4 linked regions of the Tamandua tetradactyla genome follow. The protein of the gene in region 1 interacts with the protein of each later gene in a pairwise test. Links are inferred from orthologs where the notes say so. Each region holds a gene or a part of one and is shown on either strand. Other genes may lie near its edges. The genes, in order: DISC1, RABGAP1, KIF3A and XPNPEP1.

What was found.
Region 2: the proteins of DISC1 (region 1) and RABGAP1 interact in a two-hybrid assay, tested with the Homo sapiens proteins (2 studies listed by BioGRID and IntAct). The link is inferred for Tamandua tetradactyla from reciprocal best matches to the Homo sapiens genes DISC1 and RABGAP1.
Region 3: the proteins of DISC1 (region 1) and KIF3A interact in binary tests that used the Homo sapiens proteins (3 or more experiments, as listed by UniProt). The link is inferred for Tamandua tetradactyla from reciprocal best matches to the Homo sapiens genes DISC1 and KIF3A.
Region 4: the proteins of DISC1 (region 1) and XPNPEP1 interact in a two-hybrid assay, tested with the Homo sapiens proteins (2 studies listed by BioGRID and IntAct). The link is inferred for Tamandua tetradactyla from reciprocal best matches to the Homo sapiens genes DISC1 and XPNPEP1.

Annotation. Positions count from the first base shown.
Region 1 is NC_135333.1:1,470,543-1,477,504, forward strand, and holds the start of DISC1 (disrupted in schizophrenia 1 protein), read left to right. Parts: upstream 1-3,939; 5' UTR 3,940-4,049; coding exon 4,050-4,922; intron 4,923-6,962. UniProt on the Homo sapiens protein: Involved in the regulation of multiple aspects of embryonic and adult neurogenesis. Required for neural progenitor proliferation in the ventrical/subventrical zone during embryonic brain development and in the adult dentate gyrus of the hippocampus.
Region 2 is NC_135328.1:44,787,837-44,794,731, reverse strand, and holds the start of RABGAP1 (rab GTPase-activating protein 1), read right to left. Parts: upstream 3,017-6,895; 5' UTR 2,928-3,016; intron 2,895-2,927; coding exon of another isoform or gene 2,827-2,894; exon of another isoform or gene 2,770-2,826; intron 1-2,769. UniProt on the Homo sapiens protein: May act as a GTPase-activating protein of RAB6A. May play a role in microtubule nucleation by centrosome. May participate in a RAB6A-mediated pathway involved in the metaphase-anaphase transition.
Region 3 is NC_135346.1:11,484,262-11,491,972, reverse strand, and holds the start of KIF3A (kinesin-like protein KIF3A), read left to right. Parts: upstream 1-4,692; 5' UTR 4,693-4,859; coding exon 4,860-4,865; intron 4,866-7,395; coding exon 7,396-7,669; intron 7,670-7,711. UniProt on the Homo sapiens protein: Microtubule-based anterograde translocator for membranous organelles. Plus end-directed microtubule sliding activity in vitro. Plays a role in primary cilia formation. Plays a role in centriole cohesion and subdistal appendage organization and function.
Region 4 is NC_135339.1:71,769,599-71,777,065, reverse strand, and holds the start of XPNPEP1 (xaa-Pro aminopeptidase 1), read left to right. Parts: upstream 1-4,445; 5' UTR 4,446-4,569; coding exon 4,570-4,601; intron 4,602-4,675; exon of another isoform or gene 4,676-4,696; intron 4,697-6,156; exon of another isoform or gene 6,157-6,280; intron 6,281-7,467. UniProt on the Homo sapiens protein: Metalloaminopeptidase that catalyzes the removal of a penultimate prolyl residue from the N-termini of peptides, such as Arg-Pro-Pro. Contributes to the degradation of bradykinin.

The sequences.
Region 1 (6,962 bases):
CGGAGAGGACCTTTGTCGTCTGCATCTATCCCAGGCTCTTGTCCTTCCTTCCCTTCAATTTCAGGACTCCCGGGGCGGGCGAAGGGGCGGGGTGGGGAGTGCGTGTCAACAGGGACCCGCAGCTGGTCTGCGATAATGGACGGGAAGGAGAACGTCTGCGCTTCTCTGCCTAGAATCTGGTGTGGGGTGGGAGAGCACGAGGAACCGAGCAGCCTGCTTGAGGCTCCCCTCTCCCCCGTCACCCTCTGCAGGCTGGAAAGACCGAACAAAGGCCACCTCTGGGCTTTACAGAGAAGAGAAGGGTGGTTTCCCAGGCAAATTTTCAAGACTGCCTGCACCGTACGGGTGTTGCCGCCCCCTTACCAAGCTCTTCTTCCTGCTCTTTGGAAACCTTGGTTCCGTCGGAGCTGATACTGGTTAGGTGTTAAGAAGGAATCTTTCTCTCTAAGATCTGAATAAATGATAACCTTCCCTAACTTCAGAGTGTGATGGCTTGGTGTTTCAACCACTCCAAGAGGCAAGATTTCAGGCAGGGTATATAAGTGATCATTTATTTCTGGTCAGGGTCCTGCCTTAAATTTCCAAAGGGGGTTGAGGTGGAGGGGTGGGAAGCAGCCCCACTGCAGAGGCCCCCTCCAGATCGCAGCTCTGTCAGCCCCTCTGTGGCCCCTCGTGCCCTCTCCTACGCTCCTGAGGGTTAGGATTGCTGCTGCCCCGGTCTCACTTCTTGGGACCGCTTCTGGGAGGGGTGCATGAGTGCTCAGGTGGGGTGCAGGAGGCGGCTCATCTGTGTATGGAGCCCTCCTCCTCTCAACCCCCCACTTTTTTCTTTTTTTTAAAATCTTTTTGCATGGGCAGGCAAGAACTCTGCCTGCTGAGTCATCATGGCCTGCCCCCACCCCGCACTTTTGAGAAACCCTGTACTTTCGTCCTCACTGCCTGTTGCTCATTGCTTCTTGCTGATCACGAACCTCAGTAGAAGCGTTGGGTCCCATCGGGGAACTGCTTTGTGCAAGCGACTGGAACCTGGCCTGGGGGAGTTTCAGATGCCCTTGGTTAAGTGCCTTCAGGCATTTTAAAAGAAATGAAATTGCAAACGAATTTATTTTCCTCTCGGCATTGTGCTGATAGCTTTTAGCTTTTAGCCAAAAGACAACACAGATTTCACTGGATTCATTTTTCATGATATGAAATTGTTGAATTGTTTTCCTTCAGCAATCGAAGCCAGAATTCAATATTCTTTTCTATTTCCTTTGGACTCATTGTTCATTAGAAAATATTTTGCCAGTTTTATAGGGGAGACAAGAATTAGTCCTTGTGGACCCTCTCTCCTCCCACAGCCTCTTCCTCCTGCTCTTCCTGCTGGTGGGTCCCAGACACGGCAGGGCACGTCGTGTCTCCCTAGGATGACATACTTGGCAAAGAGGACGTGGGAACTCCCTGTCGGACCACAGTGCATAGACACCCCATTTGGCTTATTAATTATTCCCTCTGTACATTTTCATCATATCCTTCTCTGCTGTTCTTCCTTTGGACTCTGTCATGAAGAAAAAAGAAAAAACATCTGCCATCCTGTCATTTTAAGTTATCATCCCAATTGATAGAGTAGGAGGTAAAGTAGAAGGAGCATTTACTTTGGGATTAGATGGGCCTTTCTTCAAAACCAGGCTCTGCTAGTCTGTTATCTGAGAATTCAGGGGCAAATTAAAGCTTTCTTGGCTTTGATTTTATTGTCTATAAAATGAGAACGGGGCCTGTCTCCCAGGTCTAGCTCCTGTACTGTTTCCCTCCCTTCCTTTACCTGTTTTCCTCTTACTTCCTTCCTGGCTAAAACTATTTTCATTCCTCCCTTCACTGCAAGTGTGCCAGTGCGAAACGATTATGTATCCCAGAAAAGCCAGACTTTAATCCCGATCCAATCTTGTGGGCCAGACCTGTTCTTTAGGGTGGGAAACTTTGATTGGACTGTTTCCATACACCCAAGTGTGGCTGTGGCCTTTTGGTTAGATGGAGATGTGACTCCGCCTATTCAAAGTGGGTCTTGATTAGTTTACTAGAGTCCTTTAAAAGGAAGAACATTTTGGAAAAACCTCAGATGCAGATGCACACGTTTGGAAATGCAGAAGCCCCAGGAGACACAATTGCTTTAGAGCCCACAGATGCGGATATTTGGAGATGCTTGGAGTGCCGATGCCTAGACATGGATGTTTGGAGATACAGAGCCCAGTAGACATCACCATGGGCTTTCCCATGAGATGCTAAATCCACAGTTGTGCCCTGGAAGAGTTAACTGAAGACCCACAGACACTTAGAGAGGAAACCACTGCATCAGAAGTTAGAAGCAATGGAACCAGGGAATAAGGACCAACAGATGCCAGCCATGTGCCTTTCCATGTGACAGACATTGGCCTTTCTTGAGTCAAGGTACCGTTCTCTGGATGCCTTAGTTTGGATATTTTTATGGCCTTCAACTTGTAAACTTGTAACATAATAAATTCCCTTTTTAAAAGCTCTTCTCTTTCTGGTATATTGTGTTTCAGCAGCCATTAGCAAAGCAAAACTGCAAGCTTCCAGAAAGCCAGTGTATACTGGGAAGTATCACTCTTCCTGGGGTCCCCAGAAGTTGGCATACCCCATTTAGCAGAGAGCAGGTCACTGGGTGAATATATTTTGGGTCATCTCATCTCCAAATGCTCAAAGTCAGGGAGTGGGTGGTTGTGTGCTATAATGCTTATATTTCCAGGTGGCAAAGTACAGGATTATCATTGACATCCATCCAGGCACTTGTGCAGCACCATGGTTAAATGTCTAAACCTGACAAAGACCCTGGGTTTGTGTATGCTCTAACAGGCAGAGGGAAGGATTTTGGACATGGAGTGAAGCTCTGTCCCACTTCTTGCTGCAGGCTATTGTCTAACTAGAGTTGTGTTCAGTGAACTCTTGTCTTACTTTTATGCACTTGAGCTGGCTCATCCACACAACCATGAATTGATTGATTCACATGGCATGGGCAGGAGCAAATGAATTTAATGTAGGTGAAAATGCTATATGGCTAGTAAGGTACAATGCAATGTAAAAATAAAAACTAACACTTTTTTTTAACACTTACGTGTACCAGGCATTGTTCTAAGCTCTCTACATGTATTAACTCATTTAGTTTAACACTCTTTAAAGAACAAGGTACTGTTAAAATCTCCATTTTACGGATAAGGAAACTGAGGCACAGAGAGGTAAAGAAAGCTTGCTGAAGGTCACCCAGCTAGCAAGTGGTGCAGCCCCGGTTTGAACCAGGTAATGCAGTGCCAGAGTCTTTGCTGTCAACTGCTCCACTGTACTACCTCTATCAGGTGTCAGCATTTGTCAATACCATTCCTGTCCTCTAGCTGAGAGTGTCACACAGCCTCTGCTCTAGAGAACCCACCACCCGGGGCTCTCCTGCAATCTACCAGATGAATTGAGAGGCATATGCAATGCAGCTGTGATCACAGCCAGGCAACGAGGAATCATTGAAATTCACAGAGGAGTAGCTACAATAAATGATTGACTCATGGTTGTGGCTTTCCGGTTTCAAATCACTTGCTTTCCAGGCCCACTCTGGGATGAAAGTGCTGATTTGCAGAGGGTTCAGAAGGAGCAGCCAAGTTTGTGCCTCCAATTTTCATGCTGACCTGTTGGCATAATTTACAGCATTGCCAGCGGCCCTGGGAGGCAGGGGAGCCGAGATGCCATGTTCCTTTCTGCATGTTCCAAGGCAAACACTGACCCAGGCCCCTCAAAGCTGTGAGCCAGCATCTGTCTGTTTTTGGCAGTCAACCCCAGGGGTGTGCAGGGAGAGAGCACCCTGAACTTGGGGTTGTTCTCCAGAAGCTGTTGCAGCTGAGCCTGTGAGGGTTGAATGTTTATGGTGCCATGTCCTCTTTCTTTTCTCAGGCAGCCAGGATGGCTTACCACCTGCAGCATCCTTTGGGAAGACGCGGCTGGCAAGGAGGCCAGGCTACCTGAGAACCACGGCTGGACCCCGGGTTGGATGTCTCTCCCCGGTGGTTGGCATGCTATTTGGTGCCCAGGGAGTGGCATGCGGCGGGGAGCACCAACACTCTGAGCTCCAGGCTGGACAGGGCAGCCGGGACTCTGGAAGCCAGTGGCCAGACCCCTCACTTGGAAGCACTGCGGCCCCAGCTGGGATACCTATGGCTCTGACCCCAGGAGGAGAAACCTCAGGGCGCTTTGAAATTCAGCTCAGAGCTGGTACCAAACCTCCCAACTGGCTAACCAGGTCTTGCAGCCCTGGGGACTCTGGGTGTCAGGGAGAGTTTCCATCCATGAAGAGTTCTGACGTCCCAGGCCCTACTCGGGATGCAGCCTATGGTGAAGGAGTGAGGGGTGCTGGGGCAGCAAGCTCTCTGGCTCCAAAGGGAGCGAAGAGCAACAGCCGCAGCTGGGGAAGTGGCCCTAAGGCCCCCTTGGCCCCTTTCAGCTCTCATGAGGTCTTTACCTCGAGCTTTAGCTTCATAAGGCTCTGCCTTGACTCCGCTGGGGAACGTGGAGAGGCAGAAGGCTGCCCTCCATCGAAGGAGGCCGAGGCACCTCGCCAGGGCTCCGAGGAGATGAAAGCCCAAGCTGCCGGCTCGGAGAGGCCCCAAGAGGACCCTCCACTTCTCTTTCAGCCATTCGATCTCAAGGCTACTTGGGGCCTGGCAGACTCTGCCCAGACTGCACAGAGCAGCCCCAGGCCGGAGTGTGAGACGCTCTCTTTATTAGACACGGATGCTGCCTCCCCTTGTTCCCTGGATTCTTTGTTGCCTGGCTCTTCTGCCTGCGAGGACAGCCCCTTGGGGGATGATGTCGGTTGGGACACCCTGATCAAGAAATACGAGCCTGTGCTGCGGGAGTGTCTGCTGAGCAACCAGAAGCAGTTGAAGGTTGGTGTCCCCTCCCCCTCTGAGCCCCACAGGATTGTCCAAAACTCAGATTAGCAACTGGACAAAGGGCAGGAAATGACTGGGTGCTGTGTTGTCCTACTTCCCCTCCCGGAAGCCACAGCAGCTCCACGTGTTGGCTGGCTGCAAAAAAGATGTGACTGCACTTCTGTTTCTTCCTTTTCAGTTTAGACACAAATCTGTTTGCATTTAGATCTTCCCTGTGACTCTGATGCTCCGAGTTGCTCTCTGCTGACCCATAGGTTCCTCTGCAGTCCCTGGCTTTGGTGAGACATGGTTGGCTCAGCCTAGCTCATTTTGAAACAGGAAATGGAGACAGGGGAAGGGAAGATTGAGCTGGTGTTTGGAAGGGGTTGAGTGAGAAGAAAACAGTGATGCTTTCCATTCAGGGTAATTTCAATCTTCATCTGTATTTACTCCTCTCATTTCATCCTGCGGCAATGGAAATTGTTCTATATACAGTTAGGAGATTTATTTTCTGGTCATTAAATTTCTCTGAATCTCAGTTTCCTTATTTAGATAGTGGGGATGACAATACCTCATAGGATGGTTTTGAGTCTCAAATGAGAACAACAGTAGTTGGAAATTAGAAAGAAATGCATAGATGTAAATTGTAGCATTACTGGATTGTTGTCCATCTAGCTATCTGAGTGGTGGGTAGAGCTGGGAGGGGAAGGGCGGTTCTACCCAAAAAAGATTCCCAGAGGAACCCAGGTAGAGATACTTTATGGCTCACCTACTGGACTGGAGGGCTGACCCACTGAAGGACTGCATTTTTTTTTCTGATGTGTGTGTGTGTATGTTTTATGTAAATGTGAGTGGGCATGACAGGTAGGGAAGTGAACACCCACTCATCAGACATTTGGTAGAAGTATTTGAAAATGTGGAAGTTCATTTTCATGCCCAGAAATCCTATCTTATTTACTTTCAATTCTTTACCTGGAGCTTGATGATCTTAACCTCATTCCTTCTTGCCCAAATCCAGCCCTCAGAGACCTCAGCCCAGTCATCTCGTTTATGACGCAGGGAGACTGTGAAGCCAGGGCAGAGAGGCAGCTCCTGGATGATATGCGCAGTCCTCGAGTTGGACATGCCCAACACTGACGCCATCACCTTTCCCACCAAGCCTGTCCGGAAGTGCCTCATGTTTTATAAATATTTGCTGATTGATTTAATAGAATCATCCAATGCCTCAGTCATCGTCAACCCTTCCTCTCTCTCCCTCCCTGCATCTGATCAAGCTCCAAGTCCTCTCACTTCCACCACTAAGATAGTTCTCACTGCCACCTCCTAGCTCAAGTCTGTGTTATCTTTCACTTGGGTTTCTCAAGAGATTCTTAACATGTTTAACCTCCTCCAGTTTCTCTCTTCTCCAATTCATCCCACAACTGACCTGCAGACCTCTCTTCCTGAAACATAGGTGACACAGTGCCACTCCTTAGCTTAAAAGCTTTGAGGCTCATTGCTGCTCTCAGGATAACATCTGAGCATCTTATTCCAACAATCAAAAGAGTTGTCCCAATCTGCCCCCAGCTGCCAGCCTCAGCCACTGGGCACTGCTTGCCGTTCTCTGTAAGACCATAGGGACTCGTCCCTCAGTGCCTTTTCTCATGGCTTTGCCTCTGCCAAGAATGACCTTTCCTTACTTTTCCATCTGTTAAGTTCCTTCATTTCACTTTCAATGATGCTCCATTGCCACTTCTTCTGAGACATTTCCTACCCCATCTAGACCAAAGAAGTCCCTCCTTCCAATTCATTCCCATAGCACTTTGGACTGCCCCATTGTAGCACCCACCACATTTAGTAATAATTTGTTCATGGGTCCCAATTCCCCACTTGACTAACTAAGACCTCTCTTAGTTGTTTTTGCATGTCTGATACCTAAATTACTTCCCAGTCCTCAGCAAGTGCTTGATTAATATTATTTTACTGAAATAATTAATTGTGGGAAGATAGGCCACAGACAACTCAGCGGGTGAACCACTGCCCTTCCCCCTAATGTGAGACATGACTCCCAGGGGT
Region 2 (6,895 bases), on another chromosome or scaffold:
AAGGTTAAAGAGAGTTATTATTAATAACATGTTGGAGTAACACAGAAACTAATTTACTAATGTACATAACAATGCCAAAGTTTATATACAGAAAAATTTACTAACACAAAGATTTACAGATCCCAAAGAATTGTGTTTTATAACACAAATGCTGATACAAACTTAACTAGAGATACATAACAACCATGCGTTAACTCTTGGAAAGGGGTAAACCCCCAAGTCTGGCAGCACAGCCATACAATTAAGACATGATTCTCATGTTTTAGAGCCATGATAATACATATATTTAATGTGAAACATAAACTTAAAAACAGGTTGAGGGCTTTATTTTATTCTTTATTGATCCACAGAGATAGGGACTCTTTGGAAAAGATAGGCTTTACAGAGCTCTTTCATGATAGGAAGAATAAGCTTCAAAAAATTCTCACTTAATCAACAACTAGTGACTACTTCTGTGTACGGTACTTGATATGGAAAAGAGGGGAAACTTTCAGGTCAAATTCTATAAACTAACATGTTCGTGACCGGCATATGGCCGTATTTGGTCAGATATTCTTTGCACATGAAGAGAAACAAAACCATTAGGGTCAACAAGAATAGTTACATTCTAAGTCTAAATGTTTAGTGATATTGTTTTTACATACAAGTCTTCAAAAGAATAAAGATTTTTAGAGAAGACAAAACTAAAGGAAAAAACTATGCAATCAAATTACATGAAAAAAAAATGACTGTTAAGTTGATGTGATGTTTTTTCAGGTATATCCATGGACATCAAGTCCTTAGCCTTGAATTTTCTTTCTTCGGGATCTGACTATGGAAAACCAATAAAACAAGGCAGTTACACACAAAACACTAAAATGTCATACCAAACGCTGCTTTAAGTACTGTGGTTAAATCAACACTTCTTTAAAAGAAAAAAAAAATTAGCACTTAAGTAATATTTGAGTTGTATCTCCAAGAAAGGTTATCTCTGTATTTATTTATTCTACACACTTAAGAGGTGTAATTATATCTGATTATATTAAAAATTACAAAGATAACATTATGGGCAGCCTATGGCAGAATCTTAGCTTATCAGTAGCATCAATTTAATCATTTTCTGAAGCCTGCACTCAAAGGTCACTTGTTAAAATAATTACCGTGAAATGATGATACCTTAAAAGCAGCTTTTACTTTAACTGGAAATAGACTCAAAGACAAAGACCTCTTTAAAAGAATCTGGATTGTATATTTCAGTTATAGTGTGTGGAAAACCCCTCAAATAGATAAGGTGCATAATACACTTCTCTCAATAATCAGTAAAAAAAAAAAAAAAAAAGGTTAGGAAACAGGTATCTTCACTTTTACAGAGTACCACTATACTATCATGTAATCCAGATTAAGCACGTGCATTAGTAAACTGCTAAAACACTATGACAAAATGTATACTCTCTAGACAAATATATATTTTATTAATGCCAACAATGAGTTAATTAACTGTAAAATGAGCTGTAAAATTGAACACATGAATTTGAGTCATTTTGTTTAAAGCTACTTGTGAATTTTAAAGGTTACCGATAAATACAAATCAATCACAGATTCAAATTTACTAATGCAAAAGGAAGTCTACAAAGGAAGGTAATAAAGAACTCTCGCCCCTATTTATTTTTAGTTTTTCTAGGTAAACTCTACTTAAAAGCCTCCAATATATATTAAAATTCCAACCAATATAGAAGTGAATAAAGCAACAGGTCCTTGATATAAAAAAGGTGGACGCGCACGTACTTGGTACATAACCTTTTTTTTTTTAATCTACTATTCAAAGATCAGTTTAGTGTGCCACAGTTCCACTCACCCTCTATTGTTTTTTTCTTCCGCAGTAAAACAGCTGGAAACACACACACAAACACGGTTTACTTCAGTCACGGGTATGAGAATACAGGTGTTTATTTGAATAAAAATATCCAACGAATTGTGAAACCCTATCTCTGTCATTTTTCACCTCTAATTAAAAAAAAAAACAAGACAAAAGCCTAAATACCTCAAATTCAAGTTAGAACATGACTTTTAAAGCAACGGAGCACTACCAGCATTATCACTGTTAACAAGGTCTCCTAGGCTACTTGGTACTAAGATAATAAAAGTAGCCGTAAGTACGGAGATGTTCTTAAGAGCAGGAGTAGACGATAAATAATCTGGATGTTAGAAGAGTAGGAGCCACAGTACAATCGGACAGTGGACAGCGAACTCCTGAAAGTCTGAGGTTGTCCCTCCGGCTCAATCACCTAAAACCATGAAGGCGACTGAGAATCAAAACATAAGAACAGCAATGAGGTATTGGGGGGGAGATGCAGAAGGGAAGAATGGAATGCCGGGACACTGTAATTGCAGGCAGGGAAAATGAGAGAGAAAGACCACGATGAGATGGAAAAGAGACCCATAAAGAAAGTATTTTAAATTAGGCGCAGCCCAGAAGTCAAGCCTGAGGTCCAAGTCAGTCTAAATTAGTAAATACAGATCCCGAGGGCAACGGGGAGAACGTGAGGAGAAACTGAGGTGGAGGGGACGGCCAGATTCCCCAGATGACTGGGCTCAGACTATGAAAGCTAAAGGACAAACCAGCCTTGCTGGTGGGCCAGAGGAACAGCCGCAAAAGCAGGACTCCGAAAGCACCTACCCAGACAGGGGGAACCGGTTTGGGTAGGGGCTAAGGGAGCGTCGTCGCCTGCGCATGCGCTGCCCTTCCGTCGCAGCTCCCGTTCGCCCTCCCCCCACCCAATCACGGCTCCCCTCAGAGGCCGGCCCGTCGAGGGAACTGAGCGCAGCCTCACTAGCCCAGACTGCAGAATGAGAAAACAGCATGGCTACCTGCAGAACCGTCAGAAGCTAGCCCCGAGGGGTTGGTGGATAAGAAGGTGGGAATAAAGGGAAGGGAAATGCGACCCTACCCGACCCGCCGCCTCCTCCGCCGCCGCCCGCCGTCCCGGAGGCTTCACCGCCTTGGCCTCCCGAGCCGCCCTCTCCCCTCCCACCCGCCCCCTACTCACGTGAGAGCAGCTCCTTCCGCCCTTTGCCCCGCCCTCTGTTCCATCTTATAGGCTGTCGACTAAACTGAGAGCTCTCATTGGCCCAACACTAGGAGGCGAGGGTTTCCTTTCCGCGAAGCCCCGCCTGAGCATTTAGCCCGCCCCAGGACTCTGCGCCTGCGTGTAGCGTACGCTTTGGGAGCTGGACGTAGGGTTGTTAGGTCAGGGTCTGCTGCAGCCGGGACTCGGAGTGGAACTGGTGATGGAAGGTAGCTGGGCTAGTGGCACCTGCTGAGTCTAGTAGGGGGTACGACTCTACGGAGTACACGAAGTGGAGCCAAGTCTCCTCCTGCTCAACTTTCAGGTTCAAGCGCTATTTGAAAAGGAGCATTTCACAGTGCGACTTAACTCACCTGTTTATTCTGGGTGCAGAGTGCGAGGGATTATGGTAGGTCTATTTACGGGTATCTCCTTTCGGCTTTACCACAAACCTGCGAGAAAGGTATGGGTTTTTTTGTTTTACAAAGGCGTTGTTATAAAATTCAGTCTAGAAGTTGTAGTATATAGATGCCTTTTTCTTACTTTCTAATGTAATGTATAATAGCCAAAAGGAAATAGCTGAAATTACTGAAACCCACTGAATTGCAAATTGTAAATCCTCTTGACTGCGCCTGCTTATACCCCCTTGCCCTGTTTTACAACTTCGGAGTCTTATAATAACTGTTACTGAAGATTATAATGTTAATGAAGAAACTTGAGTCAGCCCAACACTAAAGGAGGACTGTAGCGTTGTTACTGTCATGGTTATTTTAGCTTACTTCTAGCTTAGTTCCACTACTTTATATTTGTAATTTTTAGCTACTTGCTACTGTAATGGTTAGTTTAGCTTAGTTCTAGTTTAGCTCTGCTCCTTTACATTTGTAAATTGTAGACCTTTATATTTTTTGTTGTAATAGTAATAACTCCATCTCTCCTTGTTTGAATCCATAAAACCGTAAACTCCTTAGACTCATGGAGAGAGATTTTAGGCCAACAGGTCGTCTGTTCTCCTTGCTTCATGTAGCAATAAACTCTTTCTTCTTTTGGAACCCGGGCGTCATAGATAGGCTGTTAAACGCTTCTGTCAAAGAACCTCACCTTTGATCGGTATCAGTTTGGCGAAACTGGTGGTACAGTGATGACCGTAAAGAATAAGGACTCCAGTTGCCCAAAGTTCTGCAGCCTGGTGGGAACAGGTAAACACGGTAATCGAGCCTTTTGCAGCCACTACCCTTTTAGTCCAGAGGCGGGGCAACCGGGTTTCCCTCTGCGCTACTGGTGCCCCAGGCCCCACAGTTTTCTAATAGCATTTCTGTTATATGCATTGGACAGAGAACCCCACGTTTCCTCGGTGTCACAGTCAAAACTTCTGACTCCAAAGTCTGGGCCACTGCCTACACACAGCTGCCTTGTGGTACTTCACATACACAAAAGAGGTCAGAAATGACCAAGGTTGTTTTGGAGTGTTACTCAGAGATGAGGCTGGAATTTTATTCAGAAATCTTTCAAAAGTGAAAATACAGAGCATTGGCAATATAATGTTTAAAGTACATGTCTTTAATGAATTTACAGTGTATCTGGGAAGAAAAGGATATATCCATAACAAAGGTAGTGATTGTTGATTGGGCGCTACTTAAGTTTTGACATATAAAATATTTTTACAGCCTGTTACTTGTCACTATTCTTTATTCAAGTGGTATTATCCTCTTTTCCTGAAGATGAGTCATTTGAAATGTTTTTCAGTGGCTATTGCATGGAAATCAACCAAAGACAAACCAACAACTGTGCTCTGTTGCAGTCCTCTTTGTGACCCATCTTAACAATAGATTTAGTTGCATACCCCTACCTCATGAAAATAGTATTATTTGTTACTTAATAATAAATAATACACACATATGTAAAGTATTCAAATATTAGATAAAGTATTAGGAAGAAAGTAAAATCTGAAATCCTAACAAAATATTTTAATATTTAATTTATTTAAATATTTTGGTGTCCATTTTTCATGCATTTCTTGATTCATATGTAGACACCAATATTTACATAAATCTTGACATCCTTTTTTAATTTTAATGCATTTTTACTGATATATATTATATATTCATATACCATGTAATCATCCAAAGTGTACAGTGGTTCACACTATCATCATATAGCTGTGCATGTATCATCACAATTGACTTTTTTCTTTTTTGTGAAAAATAATATATATACAAAAAAGCAATAAATTTCAAAGCATACTCCAACAATTGTAGAACGGATTTCAGAGTTTAGTATGGGTCACAATTCCACAATTTTAGGTTTTTATTTCTAACTGCCTCAAGGCACTGGAGACTAAAAGAAACATCAATATAATGACTCAGCCATCATACTCATTTGTTAAACTTTACCTTCTCTGTACAACTCTCCCATCTCCTTTGATCCTTCTCCCTCTTCCCAGGTTTTTGGGCCATGACTACTACATCTTTTCCATGTTTGAAGGGGCTGTCAGTAATATGGGATATGGAGATGGAACTAGTCACTGTTCTGGAGAGACTGGCCTCTCTGCATTTCAGGACTTATCTGGTCTAGGGACCCATCTGTAGGTTTCTGGATTACTTTCCTAGTGCTTGGAACCTTTGTAGAATTTCATATAACGCCCTAGATGTTCTTTAGGATAACACTGTAGGTTTTCTTTATGGTTGGCAGGAATGGCCTTGTTTGGGGTTTGGCCAACTACGATAGGTAGCAGTGTCTAACTGAAGCTTGGGTAAGAGTAGCCTCCAAAGTAGCCTCTAACTCCATTTGAACTCTCTCAGCCACTGACACAACACCCTATTTGTTACACTTCTTTTCCCCCTTTTAGTCAGAATGACAATGTCAATCCCATGGTGCTGATGCCAGGCTTATCAGTTAACATACATTTTAACATAAAACTTTATTTCAGAATCACTACAGGTGCCTTGGAGAAAAATAGAAAACACAGACAAGCTAAAATAAATTCAGAACACCACACTGTTACCACCAGGGATCACAACTGTTAATACCTTAGTGCATATCCTGCTGTGTGTGTGTTTACATATTTTCAAAATGAGATCACATCATTTAAACAATCCAAACACACGGAGCTCAGAGTAAGAATAAGCCTTTAATCCTGTATAGCTTAATGTAATGTCTGGATACATCCCAGAGTATATTAAGCAGATAAAAAGTATTGGCAAAGTCTCTTGAGGGATGGGAGAAAAATTATGGAATTATTAAACTTTACAATGGGGGAACCCCAGATACTGTGTCAAACATTAGAGACACCATAATCAATAGGCCAAGCTCTTGATCTTGAGGCTTGCTCTTATGAAGCATATGTATGTAGCAGAGAAACTCAGCCTTCCTACAGGTATGCCTTAGAGTCACCTCAGGAGCACCTCTTTTGTTGATCAGATGTGGCCTTTCTCTCTCTAAGCCCAACTCTGCAAGTGAAACCATTGCTCTCCCTGCTACATGGGACATGACATCCAGGGATGAAAGTTTCCCTGGTGGTGTGGGAGATGACCCACAGGGATGAGGCTGGCCCTGGCATTATGGGATCAACAATGCCATTCTGACCAAAAGGGAGAAAAGAAGTATAACAAATAAGGTATCATTGGCTGAGAGAGGTCAAATAGAGTTGAGAGGCTACACTGGAGGTCACTCTCATGCATACTTCAGTTAGAAATGATTACCTATCGTACCTTGCCAAACCCCAAACAAAACAATTCCTGCCAAGCCTAAGGAATACCAAGGCATTATGTAAGATTTTACAAAGGTTCCATGCACTAGGGTTAACTCCCCAAAACCTACAACCTCCAGATAAGTCTTGAAATGCAGAGGGGCCA
Region 3 (7,711 bases), on another chromosome or scaffold:
TGTAATCAGCCAAAGGGGAGTGTCTTCTGCAATTAGTGATGCTAAATCCAATCATGGGAAGCCTTTTAAGGAGGACTCAGAGGAGACAGGTTGCATTCCTGCTTTGGCTGGTGAGCCTCTCTTGTGGAGTTCATCCAGGCCATCCATTGGAGTCGTCGGCTTCGCAGCCTGCCCTGTGGATTTTGGACTCTGCATTCCTATGGTCACGTGAGACACTTTCATAAATTTTATATTTGCAAGTGTTCCCTGTTGATTCTGTTTCTCTAGAGAACCCTAACTAATACACACCACTTTAAGAGAAATAGTAAAGGAAGTGTTTCAGGCTGAAAGCAAGTTACCCCAGAAGGAAATTTGAATCCATTCAAAAAATGAATAGAACTGGTAAAGGCAATTATGTAGGTAATTATAAAGCAGTATAATTACATATTTCTTCTCCTTCTTTTATTAGCAGTTTTAAAAGAAATTGTGTAAACAATATGTATAATTGTTATTATTAGACCTCTAACATGTAGAAAGGTAATATATTTAACAATAAGAACACTTAGAAGGGAAATGTAAGCAAAGCTGTAGTGCAGTAGGGAAATGACAACAAATGATAACTCAACTCCACAGGAAGAAATGAAGAGGACCAGAAATGCTAAATAAGAAGGTTAATATAGCAAAGTCTGTAAATATAAACTTGTTCTCCTTTCTTCTCTCAGCTTCTTTAAAGGCATAAAATTATATAATGTAATAAGTATAATAACGTATTATTGGGTTTGTAATATTTATAGCTATAATATGTATACCAATAAGAGTACAAAAGGGGAAGTGGGAATAGAGCTATAAAATATTAACATTTCTATATCACTCTGGAGTTAGTCTGTATTGATCTGAAGTAGATCCTGATAAGTTAAGATTTATATTTTAAACCCTAAAGCAACCACTAAGAAAATAATTCAAAAATATAGTGAAAAAATCATTAAAGGAATTAAAATATTAAGGTAGAAAATATTCACTTGATGCAAAAGAAAGTGGTAAAAGAAGAACAGAGGGAGAAAAAAGACATAAGCCACAAAGAAAACAAAAAAAAATGGCAGATATAAACCCAGCTATGTTACAACTAACATTAAAAGTGAGTGGATTGCACAATCCCACTAAAAGGCAAAGATTTCAAACTGGATAAAAATGGCAATATCCAACTATGTGCTATCTATCAGAGACACACTTTAGATTCAAAGATGCTTGCTGGTTGAAAGTAAAAGGGTACAAGAACATATATCAAGCAAATGGCAATCATAAGGAAGCTTCATTGGCTATACTAACAGCAGACAGAATAGACTAGAACAAAGAAAATGTAACAGAGGAATGAATAATCTCCTCAATAGATGGTGCTGGGATAATTAGATATACATAAGCAAAAGACCTCTACCTCATGCTCTATACAAAAATAACTCAAAATGTATCATTAATCAAAACAAAAGTGCTAAAACTATGAAATTCTTAGAAGAAAATTTAGGAATAAATCTTCATGGACTTAGGTTAGGAAATGCTTTCTTAGCTATGACATCAAAAATGCAAACTGCAAATGAAAAAATAAATTGGACTTATAAAAATTAAAATAGTTTGTGCTTCTAAGGACCTTGTCAAGAACATGAAAAGATAATCCACAGAATATAAGGAAATATTTGCACATCATATATCTGATTAGGGATTTTTACCCAGAATATATAAAGAACTCTTACAACCAAATGATAAAAAGACAACTTAATTTTCAGATGGAGAAATAATTTGAATAAACATTTTCCCAAAGAAGATATACAAATGGCCAATAAGCACATGAAAAGATGTTCAACATAATTGATCATCAAAGAAATGCAAATCCTAACCAAAATGAGATATCATTTTACATTGCTAGCATAGATACAATAAAAATGATACACAATAAGAAGTGTTGAGAATGTGAAGAAATTGAAACTCTTTTAATTGTTGATGGGAATGTAAAATGATGTAGCCACTTTGGGAAATTTTGGCATTTCCTTAAAATATTAAATATTATAGTTAGTGAATGACCCAGTAATTGCACTTTTACATATATACCCAAGAGCACTGAAACATATGTTTAAACATAAACTTGTACACAAATGTTCATAACAGCACTATTTATAATAGCCAAATATGGTGACAACCCTAACGTCCATCAGCTGATGAATGGATAAGCAGAATGTAGTATATCCAGACAATGGAATATTATTCAACTGTAAACATTGATAGAGTACTGATATATGTTGCAACACGTATGAACTTTGAAAACATTATGCTAAGTGAAAGAAGCCAATCACAAAGGACCACACACTGTATGATTCCATTTATAAGAAATATCCAGAACAGACATCTTTAGAGACAGAAAGTAGACTAGTGGTTGCCTGGGGCAGCGATGGAGTTTAAAAATGGGGGAAATGGGGAGTGGATGCTAATGGGTATAGGTTGTTTCTTCTCTGCAATTATGAAAATGTTCTAAAGTTTATTGTGATGATGGTTGCACTTCTCAGTGTATATTCTAAAAGCCATCAAATTATATGCTGTTTCAATTGGAGAATTATGTGGTGTGTGAATTGTATCTCAGTAAAACATTTTATATATGTATATAGGAGTGATTGTTCTAGTTTGCTAGCTGCCTGAATGCAATAAATAAGTTGCAAGTTTATAGTCCCAAGGCCGTGAAAATGTCTCAATTAAAGAAAGTCTATAAAAATGTCCAAATTAAGGCACCAACAAGAAGTTACCTTTACTCAAGAAAGGCTGTTATCTTCAGAGTTTCTCTCTCCACTGGAAAGGCACATGGCGAACATGGCGACGTCTGCCTAGCTTTCTCTTTAGGTTTCTTGTTTCATGAAGCTGCCCTAGGGGTGTTTTCCTTCTCCATCTCCAAAGGTCTCTGGCTGCGTGGGCTCTCGTGGTTCTTGTGGCTCTCTCCAAAACGGTTCCTCTTTTAAAGGATTCCAGTGAACTAATCAAGACCCACCTGGAATGGGTGGGGTCAAATTGCCTCTAATCAAAGGTTAATACCCACAATTGGGTGCATCTCTGTGGTGATAATTTAATCAAGTTTCCAACCTACAGTGCTCAATAGGGATTAAAAATGACTGCTTCAACAAGATGGATCAGGATTAAAATATGGCTTTTCTAGGGTACATAATCCTTTCAAACCAGCACAAAGTGTATATGCATATATATATGTGTGTATATATTAGATGGTGGTAAGTACTATGAAGAAATAAAAAATAGGGTGTGGAGGTAAGAAGAGCTGGGGTAAAAGTTGTCATTTTAAATAGGGTAGGCCTTGTAGAGATGGTGATGCTGGAGCAAAGACCTTCTGAAGTCAGTGAGGGAGTGGGTCAGGCAGATATCTAAAGGAAGAGCTGTCTGGCTGCCTGGGTTTGGTGTCTGGCTGTGTGACTTGAACATGTTACCTAATTGCATTGTGCTTCAGTTTCTTTATCTGTAAAATAGGGATAATGGTACTACCCAATTCAAACAGTTACCACATGGAGTAAATGAATTAAAAAATATAAAGTACTTAAAGCCCTTAGAACATGCCTGCCACTAAGTAAAATGCTTCATAGCTATTTTCATGAGTTTGTACTGCAAGTGCAAAAGCCTTGCACGCTACCATGGAGGCATGCCTGGAATGCGGGATGAGGCAGGGAGGCCTGTGGGGTTGGTGCACAATGACAAAGAGGGAGAATTGTAAAAAATGGGAGCCAGCTTGTAGCTTTTATTCTGTGAGATGGGAAATCAGAGAAAAGACTCGATATGATGTCTAACACCTTCATTCTGGCTCTGTGCTGAAAATAGACTGAAAAAGTGACAAGATGGAAGCAACCAAGCCAGTTCTGAGCTGTTGAAGAAATGCAGGTGAGAGGTGGTGGTGGTAGTAAGAGGTCAGGTTTTGGGTCTACTTTGAAGATAGATCCAGCAGGCTCTGCTGAAGGATTGGATTTGGGGTTTGAGAGAAGGGAGATTGTGTTTTTGGCCTGAGCCAACTGTGAGAATGGGGCTGCTATATTGAGATGAGGGGAGTCTGAGAGGGGAGGTGCTTTGTTTTGTTTTGTTTTGTTTTTGCAGGTGCTGGGGGTGGGGAGGATAGGCAGATTAAGATTTCAATTTTGGACGAACTTGACATGCTTATTATATACCCTAAGGGAGATGTTGAGTAGGCAGTGGGATAAGAGTCTGGTGTTGAGGGAAGAGGTTCAGACTGGAAAGCAAATGGATAATTCGTTCTTTCACCGTACACGGTGAAATTCTACTCTGTGCCAGGCCATACTCTAGGCTCTGGAGATACCTGTGTGCCCCTGACTTTACCTTCTAACGGTGAGACAAGTCATACAAAAGTCAGCAGTTAAGCTGCTCTTTTTAAACTCTTTAGCTCGCGAGCTGGACACAATAAAGGCTAAAATACAATTGCTATTATTGCTTTTAATATGAGAGTATTTACTATCGCCTGAAAATGCAACCTAAGAGCGACTCCTCCTCCCATGTCTTGGCTGTATGGGATCCCTGGCCAGTGCAAGCGAGGTTGCTAGCGCCGCAGACTCCCCGCATTGCGCAGGCGCGGCCTCCGCGGGGCGTCCTAGGAGATGGACTCAGAAAGGCTCGGCGCAGGCGTATTCAGGGGCCGAAGGAACCTGGTCTGGGGACGGGGTGGGGCGAGGTTGGAGTGCGCATGCGCACTATGCGCTCTCGCTTGAAGAGCCGCAGTCTCCAGAGCGTGGTGGAAGTGGTTCGGTAATCTCTGGCCTGTCGCTCCCGCAAACCCTGTGTCGTTGGGCCGCATCGCTGGCGGGAACGTCCGTCGGGCACGGGAGGGGGCCACGATGCCGGTGAGAAGAGTCAGTCAGCCTCTGGGGTTGCTCCTTCTTCCAGCGGCCTGGCCCGGGGGCGCGGCCGTTGCCATGGAGGCGCGGAGCCGGCGGGTGGCCGGGGTGGGGCGGGGCAGGGTCAGCGCCGCGGTCCACGCGGTTTTGGAGTCAGGCGGATGGGCCTGGGACCCGCGGGGGTTCATCCGCCCGTGGGAAGGACCCGAGAGCAGGCTCTGTCGCCTTTGTCGTTGCTGCATCCCGCGGGGCCTGCGCAGCTTGGCATAAAGGCGCTGCGCCCCAGGATGCATTTTCGCTCGAGCCCTGCCTGCTGGAAAGGTCTGGGGTAGCAGCGTTGGTATGCCAGGGATGCTCCGCGCCGGGTGGCATTTAGGCGCCAAAGAGCCGAGTCCCGGAGTCCCGAGTCCCGGAAGGCGACACGGCGAAGGCTGCCTGCCCCTCCTTCAGGCCCCTCACCCGGACTCCCCTGGGCTGGAGCTGTCATTCCTATAGTGGCGCTTTAGCTTGCAGTGCAGAATGCTACCGTTTGGTGTCTTTGGGGGTGGGGATGGAGGCGCGAGAGGTACTGCTTATCTTGTAGGATTTCACAGATCGTTAGCGGGCACATAATAAGGGGGCATTGTAAATTCAGTATAGGCTTGAGCTGTGTCCGATTATTACCGGTTATGAGGCCTTGGGCAATTATTTAATCTGTCTGGTCTCTTTGTTCCCACACATTTAAACTTTTCCTCATGGGTCATTATGAGGATGAAGTAAAATAATGCTCAAGAAAACTTGAAGTGCTTGACATTTAGCATTGAATTGTTATTGCTTTCAAGTTATCTAATATTAAACACCAGCCACATGCAAGGCACTGGAGATGATAGTGAGCAAAACAGGCAGTTCTTGAACTTGGAAAGAGGGAAGCCTGCCTTCTTGGGCAGAGGTGAAAACTACACACGTTTTCAGAGACAAGACACTTAACCTTAATGGATTCTGGCGATTTGGGAGGTGTTGCCATGTAGAAATGCATGCTGGCCTAGAAATATCAGATCATCTCATTTTTCAAGAGAATCTAGAGATTGTTTTTGTCAAATTTCTCAATTTTAAAATCTTAGCAACTTATTTTAAAAAAATTAAATATTGTGAACCAAACAAAAGACATTTGTGGCCTGAATTCAGCCCCCCTAGCTTCGCATCTGCATCTTTTTGTCTAGTGGACGAAAGAAAGACAGACATTAACCAAGTAAGGAAAAAACAGAAGTAAAACTGTAACTGGCCGAGTTGATGAAGGAGAGGTACAGGGTGCCATAAGTTCCTGTAACAGGAGGATTTGGCCTAGTCAGGAAAGCCTTCCCAGATGAAGCAGCTATTGAGCTGAGATTGGAAGGATAAGTAGATGTTAACTGAGGGAAGTGAGGAATGTCTGAGCAGAAGGAACAGTATATGGAAAGGCCTGTGATAAGAAAAAGTGGGTGAATACAAAAGGCCTAAAAAGCCAGTGTGGCTGTGGCCAAGGGAGCCAGGTAGAGCGGCTTGTGGGATAAAGCTGGAGAGGCAGGCATGGGCTGGAGCCAGATCTTTCGATGACCTTAAGGATTTTTATTTTTATCCTATGATCTCTGGGAAACCATTGAAAAGTATTAAGTAGGGGAGTGATTAGATAATTAGGTTTATTTGATTCTGAGTGCCATGTAAAGAGCATTCTGAGGGGAACCTAATTAGGTGCAGGGGTACAGTGAGGAGGTTTGTAATAATCCAGGGCTGAGATGATAGTGACCTAGACTAGTGTGATGAGAAGTGTGTTGTATCGATGTAATCTGTTACTTCTCGATGACAAAGTCTGCGTCAGTGACAATGGTTTATATTTGTTTCTCTAATGCTTAGAAGAGTAGATGAAACAGGAATTTAACAGATATCCGTTGAACTAAACAGTTGAACTTCTGCACTTCGATAATGGAACTGTGTTTTAATGAATCTTAATTATATCAGATTTCAAAACTGGAAATTTACATATACAATTTTCATAATTAGAGTCATACGAAGACATTTTTCTCTGCCATGACACTTTCTTTTCTGCCTTTATTATTGTCCACTGTAGAGATGACAAACCATTTACGGATATATTATATGATAAAAAACATTTTAATCATGCACCATAGGAAATAAAACAAAGTCTCAAAGCATATACTATATTCTTAAATTAAAATTGCTAACCATGTTTACATTTTCCTGCAGTCAGGAACTCAGATGATGTCAGGGATTTTTTTAGGAAAGACGATCTTTAATATACTGGTTCATTTTCTGCTTAAACAGCGTTTACTACATGTGTAATTAGATTTTCTTTCCCCTCTTTTGTAAAAGAAGCCACTTTTCAAAATTGTAAATGTTTTTTTATCTGTAAGATCTTTAATTGCGTTTAAAAGATATTTATGGCATGCTTAATATGTACAGGGTACTGAGATGGCAAGGTAGCTCCTCTGAAATCATGAATTAATCTTTAAGGGTAAAAGTAAATGTGCTTGTTGTTACCTGTGAGTATTTTCTCCACCAGATCAACAAATCAGAGAAACCGGAAAGCTGTGATAATGTGAAGGTGGTTGTGAGGTGCCGGCCTCTCAATGAGAGAGAGAAGTTGATGTGCTACAAGCAGGCGGTCGGTGTGGATGAGATGAGGGGAACTATCACTGTGCATAAGACTGATTCTTCCAATGAACCTCCCAAGACCTTTACTTTTGATACGGTTTTTGGACCAGAGAGTAAACAGCTTGACGTCTATAACTTAACCGCGAGGCCTATTATTGATTCTGTTCTTGAAGGTTACAATGGTGAGTGAGTACTTCACATAGTTTACTTTTAAAAAAAACAGT
Region 4 (7,467 bases), on another chromosome or scaffold:
TGAACATATTTTCTTAGCTCTTTGGGCTTATTTAGGACCATTTCTCTCAATGACTTTGTCAAGGATAGCCTGGATCTGAGCCTCATCCTTGATGGTTTCTGATGCTTTTATCTTTTTCCCTGCCTATGCCTTTGCATCATATTTCATTGTATGTTTTATAATATTTGGTTGAAACTACGGCTTTTTGATATTTTAATTCCGAGGCATTTATTCCCTAAACTTGCATCCAGCTGCTATTATGACAGGGATTTCCTTGAATGCCAGGAGCTAACAAAGAAACAAAAGAAAGGAAAAATAGAAAACACCTCTCCCAGCCCTTGCAGTCTGACCTGTGAGCCCTATCCTTCAGAACTTATCCATATAATGACTTCAGAGAACAGCTCCAAGTCAAAGCATAGGGGCCTCCCTGGTTCTTTTCTGTGCACTAGACTTGTCTTGGTACTAGGACTTCCCCTGTTTATGCAGATAGGAATGTTACCTCTTTCTCAGGAAACAGTTTCCTCAGGTTCAGGAGCATTACTCTGTGTGTCCCACAGCTAGCAGTCCCTTGCCTCAGACAGCAAGACCTGACTCTTCTCCCACAATGTCCTGTAGGAGAACTCTATGAGCTACCTTTTTATAGGCAGGGCAAGTTCTAGGATAGTGATCTCTCAGGCCCGCCACCAGACAAATCGGACCAGACATACATGCTCCCATAGAATGCACAAGGATTACTCTCTTCCCTCTGGAACCAGGACCAGGGACCCACCCTGGGAGCTCTGTGCCCAAAAGGGGTAGGGAAGGGACCAGCCAGGGTGCCAGAAGGTCCTACCACTTTAAAGCAGCCTTTTCCTTGACTCAGTCAGTGCTCATTCTGTTACAGAAGTCCTTTAGCTGGCTTTTTTTTTTTTTTTAAGCTTTGAGAAAGATGTTTCTGCCAATTCTTGTTGGTTGTTGAAAGTTTCTGTGGAGGGATGGGGCCCAGAAACATCTCACTCCACCATCTTCTAAGTTTCCTTTTAATAAAAACATTTGCAAAAGAAATGAAGAGGCAGAGCAAAATTAAAATCACCCCAAATTCTGCCATCTAGAGATAACCATTGTTAACAGTTTGTGCATCATTTTCTTTTTATTCTAAAAAGTATATATATATAAATCTGTATCTCTATGTTTATAGATATATATGTATCTATAAAAATTAAATATGTTGTTTTGTAATCTAATATTTCCATTTATTATTTCATGGTTGTCTATATTAATAAACTTATATCTTCATGTATAAAATTCACTTGTACAGATGGAACATAACTAGTTCAACGAGGAATCTTTTGTTTGCAAACAAAGGCAAACCCATGTCAAACTGACTGAAAAACAAAAGGGAAATTTTGGCTGACCTCTGAAAAGTCTAGTGGGAGATCTGGCTTAAGGTGTGGCTGGATTTAGGGCTCAAATAATGTTATGATGTTTCTGCTTTTTTCCTCCCTCTGTTCTTTTTTCTGCTGCTTCAGTGCCATTCTGATGTTGCATGCACAGGCAGCAGTTCCAGAGTGTTTGTATCCAGGTTCTGGCCTGGCAGAGGAGGACAAGGTTCTGCTCCAGCACTCAAAGCAAAAATCTCTTTGCCTTGCATTAGTCCCCTAACAATCTCTCTTAGCCTATCGTTGTGGTTTATGCCTGGGTCATATGATACATGCCCGGAATCTGAGTGTCTCACCAGCATAATATAGACCAAGGATGGGGGAATGAGGAAAGCAGAGTGGAAAAGAGTGGTGGATCCACAGAGGGAAATGGTCACAAGAAGGAGCTGAATGGATGTTGGATGGCCAAAATAACAGGTTCAGTTGTACATTTAGAGCTTGTTTCCACCTTCTTCACATGCCTGGCTACATCTAAGGCCCACCCAGTTTGAATTTGAATGATGAAACTGGGTTTTTCCTCTTTTCCACTGCATGCACTAGAAGTTGGATGAGTGACCTCTAGGGTCCCTTATGATATAACTTAGTGATTTTGTTGGAGACAGGAATCCATCCCACTGCCTGAACGTATGTGGCAGTGTCACCACTTACTAGCTCGTGGAATCCTGGGTAAGTGATCAATCTCTGTAGGCCTCCTCCATCAGTAAAATGAGGACTTTGGTCATTGGTTTGTTGTGGGCCAGGCACAGAGTGCACAGTAAATATTAGTAAGTATCACTGCTACACCCCTTAATAGATATCAGGGCTCTACCTCTTAATAGATATGAGGACCGCCAGAGCCAAGAGAGAAACTTGACCTCAGCAGTATTCTCACTCTCTAGAGATAATTCAGTTCAACTTCTCAAGCGGGGGAGAGGGAAGCTTGTGGTTATCCTACAGATAGGAATTCAAATAAGGTTCCGGGAACACAAAAAATTTCTCTTTCTCCCCTAAAGCCCAGATGCTGTAAATTCTGAGCCAACGCCTCTTCTCTTAGCGTGATAACAAAATATCTGTCCCCTTTAGGTCCCACCTATATATCTCTTTGGTCTCTCCTTTACTCTCTCACAACTTGCTCTTTTCTACTGTTAAAAGAAAAACTTTCTAGCAACACAAAAATTAGCAGTTCACAGCTTCATTGAGCTATTTCCAATTTACAAGAGAGGGGTTTTCTAAATGGGGGAGGAGAGATATTTGGTTAGTATAGCATACTTATCCCTTTTTAATGGGCTATCTCTACCAGACCAAGATGAGCTAAGCATTAAACGTTGCAAAAATTGTAACTTTGTTGGGACTGCTCTGCTCTGGAAGAAATTCCTGTCCTTGGTCAGTTTTTATCTTTGAAAAAGCCCCTGTCATGTCTTGGAAAGGGGCCACTCCGGGCAACTCCCAATGCAGGTGGTCGTTTTATTTTTATTTAACACCACCATCTCTCAGATTAGGGCTAGAACCAGTCATTCCACTAATCCTCTTCTTCTTTTTGGCCCCATAAATTTGGGGAACAAGGAACAGAGTCCTGCTGCTTTTCAAGGAGCCATATTTTTTAGTTCTTTCACACTTTTCTTACAGGGTTTAATTTGGCTTGTCAAAATGTGCTATAGGGTCTAATTTAGCTTGTCTAATTTAGCTTTTCTGAATTGAATAATGCTTAGAACTCTGAATTCTTGTAGGCAGCAGAACCTATTTGATTTAGGTATGGATTCACATTTTTAAAAATGTGGCTACTTTAATTCAGCAAATATTTCTTAAGTGCTGATTCTGTGCCAGGTGCAGTTTTACGTACTTAATGATGAACTGGAGAGCCACCATCCCTGCCCTTAAGGAGCGCACATTCTGGGGACATTCATTAATGTAGAAAATATGTATTGAGAATGTACTACCTCATTATTCATTGTTCATCATTAAACAAAATAGGCACAATCCCTGCACTGATGGTCATGTGGGACACAATACAAAAAACAAATTTTTAGCATGTTAAAAGAGGATAAACGCTATGGGCTAAAAAGGAGCAGGGTAAAGGGGATTAGGAATATATGCAAATATTTTAACAGTTTTAAATATGGTTGTCAAGGAAGGCCTCATTGAGGTGCTATGTGAGCAAAGACTTAAAGGCAAGGCGAAGGCCAGGTGAGGAAATGAGCCCCCACATTTGGGGGAAGAACTTTCCAGACAGAGGAAAGAGCAAGTCCAAAGGCCCAGGGCATAAGGGTGTCCAGCTTTTCCAAGGACTAGCAAGGAGGTCAGTTTAGCTGGAGCAACATGAGCAAGGTGAAAGCAGCAGGAAATGAGGAACCATGGAAGAAGTGCTGAGCAGAGAAGTAACGTGATCTAAGACTTCACGGGATCCCTCTGGCTGCCGGGTTAGGCAAGCCTATATGGGCAGGTATAGGGTGGCAGCAGGGAGGCCAGGAAGCGGTAAGTGACACAGACCGGAGGGGTGACAGTTGGAGGTGGTGAGAAGTGGTTGCATGACGGATCTATTTTGAAAACAGGGCCAAGACTTTCCAGCTGACCGCATGCGGGGGATATAAAGAGAGTCGGGAGGCCTCTCAGATTTTTGGCACGAACCTCTGTAAAAATGGAGTTGCCATTGACTGAGACCGAGAAGATTTTGGTGGAGCAGGTTTTTGTTTTGCTTTGGTGCGTTGGACTAGGGGTTCCGTCTGGCAGGTTCAGTTTGACCTGCCTATTAGCTATCTAAGTGGAGTGGGCACCTGCGTTTTAAGGCTGTCTGGCGAAATATTTTGGGGACATTTCTAAAGCCCTCAGGGCCCTGTCGAAGTCCTTCCAGAACTGGCCGCGTCGCCCTCCTCTCCGGTCTCCTAAAGGCCGGGACATCCCTGGGCCAGCAACTCGGGCCGCCACCGCCTCTTCAGCCAGGTCTTTGGAGAACGGCGAGAAAAAGCAGCAGTAGGGACGACGCGCCGCCGCGCGGCGACCTTTGTCTCGGACCCCGAGCCCGCGGCGGGTGCGCGGGGCCGCAGCGTGAACTGACGTCACAGAGGAGGCGTGGCCGCCGCCGGGCGGGCCTCTGAGCCGCGGCCTGGTTGTGCGCGGGCTTCTCTCCCTCCCGCCTTGGATCGGTGATCAGCTGGTCTGCGCTCCCCTGACGTGGGCCGGAGCACGTCACCGCCGAATGGCAGCCTCCAGAAAGCCACCGCGAGGAAGGTGAGGGCAATCTGCCGGGGAGCCGGCGTCCGGGCAGCGTGCGGCCCGCCGGGCCCGGACGCGCGGGTGGCATCCTCCAGGGCAGGGACTAGCCGGTGAGGAGCGGCCGGCCGGCGGGAGTCGGGCGAAGACCCGGGCGCGCGGGAGCCCCCGGAGCGGGAGCTGGGGGAGGGAGCCATGCAGCCCGGCAAGTTATGGTGCGTTTCCGGCGGGGCCACGGGCACCACCGAGCAGCCCGAGCCCGGTCCTCGGCGGAATGTATCTTCGGTGCTGCCCCGCGCGGCCCGAGGGAACAGTGGTCATCGCCCGGCCCCCGGCCCCGCAGGAAGGCCCTGCTGTTGCAGGAAGTTGATCCCTCAGGGCCCCTCCTCCGGTCGGGAGAGGTGGGCGAGCCCCTCTCGTCGTCTCCTTTCCCCGAGAATCTAATCCTCAAGTTACAACCCTGACATACTGACACCTGCTATTCGCCTTAGTGATCTGTCACCACCACAGCGAGAGCAGCGAGACCTTCCCCACCCACATGATTTCAGAGACCGTGTAAGGGAATATTTTGGCATCATCTCCAGGAAAATCCCACCAGTAGCTTGCCCAGGGCTCTTCCTGGGCACAGGGAGGTGAGAAGGAAATTTGGCATTTGCACCCCCCTCCCCCAACGGGTCTGACTTTAAACACGTTTCAGCCAGTTTTCACCCCTAGCAGGGTATACTTCTCAGAGCTGCTAACAAAACAGTAGACTAAGAGACAAGATCAGAGTTCACAAAGGCCTAAGCCAAACTTCTAGGCAATCCACATGGGGTCACCTAACCTTCAGCCAGTTGAGAGCTGAATGAACACAATTAGCAGCAAGGCCAGGTTCACTTGCTAAAGACAGGCCATGGGTGTGCATGTGTTTGTGAGTGGACAGATCCCAAACAGACACTGACCTGTATTTGATCTTGCTACAGCATGTTAGGGGTAGCAGAGAACCAGATCTGCCCTGTGGAATGGTGTGGTGAGGTGTGACAAACCTCTGTGAGGAAGGAGCTGCCTGTGAAGTGCTGACAATAGGTTCAGGCTAATGGATAATGATGTGTTAGGCTTTACATGGAGAGGCAGCCTATGAGGACCAACATGGTCTTTGCTAGATTCACAGAATCACAGGTCCCAAGCCCTGGTGGATGAGCAGATGAGAGTCACATCGACCATGTGGACAGAAAGTGGAGAAGGGGTGTTCTCCAAAGAAAAACCAAGGTGCTCTTATCAAAAACAAGGAGGGATGTCTTGCCTGGGTAGTCAAAGATAACACTTACCCCAGCCTGGAACATGTTCCATTCTACCCTTATCTCACCTCGCTAGGCATGATTGGTCCTTGTCTTGCCCTGTTCTAAGTGCTAAGTGTGCATGACTCTCATCATGGACTGGGAGGGTACTTAAAGGTGGGTGGGTGATCTAGCACCTAGCTGGGATTTCTTAAAAAAAAAAAAGAGGCAGAAAATTGGGTAGTTTGTGGCAGTTTTAACATAGCCATTTTATGAAAGACTGAACAAGAATTCCTCTTTCCTTCTATCTGCCTCAGCACTCATCATGATCTTAAGACAGTGCAGGCCAAGAAAGTCCTGGGAAAGGAAAGAACACTGTGCTGGAAGGTTGGAGGCTTTGCCTCATTCTAGCTCTGTCACCAACTAGCTGTGAGGCCTTGAGTAAGTCACTTGATCTCTCTGTTTCTTAGTCTCTTTGTCTAGAGGAGGGAGTTGAGTTGAATGGTCCCTGAGGTCCATTTTTTTCTATTTCTGATGCTCAATAGCTGTGCTTTGACTGAGAGCCTGTTAGTGTATCTGTCAAAGTGAAAGAAAGATGAATGGATCTTGGACTCTACAGAGACCAGGTGTGACAGCAGCAGAATAACTGATGTTCAACTACTTGATGGCTCCTTTGATCCTGCAGGAAGGGAAAGGTGAAGGTGATGCTTATTTGGAAAGCTTGAGCTCACCTATTGAGAGACCTGGTTTCTGGTCTTGACTTTATAGCTACTGAGGTTGTTTGGCCTGTGGTGAGTTATCTTTATTTCCTTTCCTGTAAAATGAATGAATAATATTATTTCTAGTACTAGAGAGCATTAGAGAGTCCCTCCACCTCTCAAGTGCTTTGTCTGGACCAGTCATTGGGACAAGTTAACTTTGAATTTGTAGGGAAACTAACTTTCTTGGCTCACCATGCTGCAAACTTATGAAGTCAAAGGAATATCGAGTGAGAATATGTTGTTTGCTTGTTCAAGAAAAATAGAAGTCTTATTTTTAAAAATTTATAACAGCTTTATTGAGATGTAAGTCACATATCATACAATTCACCTATTAAAGTATACAGTTCATTGGTTTTTAGTATATTCACAAAGTTGTACAACGATCATCAGAACAAATTTCAGAACATTTTCATTATCCCCCCAAGAAACCCCATACCCTTTTGTAGTCACACGCTATTTTTCCCAATTCCATTTCAACCCTAGGCAACCAGTAATCTACCTTCCGTTTCTATTGATTTGCCTTTTCTGGACATTTCATATAAGTGAAATCATACAAGTGGGTTTTTTTTGTGACTGGCTTCTTTCACTTAGTATAATGTTTTCAAGGTTCATCTATATTGTAGCATGTATCACTACTCAATTCCTTTCTATTGCCAAATAATATTCCATTGTATAGATAGACCACATTTATTTATCCATTCATTAGTTGAGGGACATTTGGGTTGTTAACAATTTTTTTTGGATATTATGAATAATCCTGCCATGATTACATTTACAAATTTTTGATCTCTCTTAGCCACTGAAGCCTTATTTTATTATACTTCTTATCCCCTTTTTGGTCAGAAAGGCTTTGTTGATCCCAGGGTA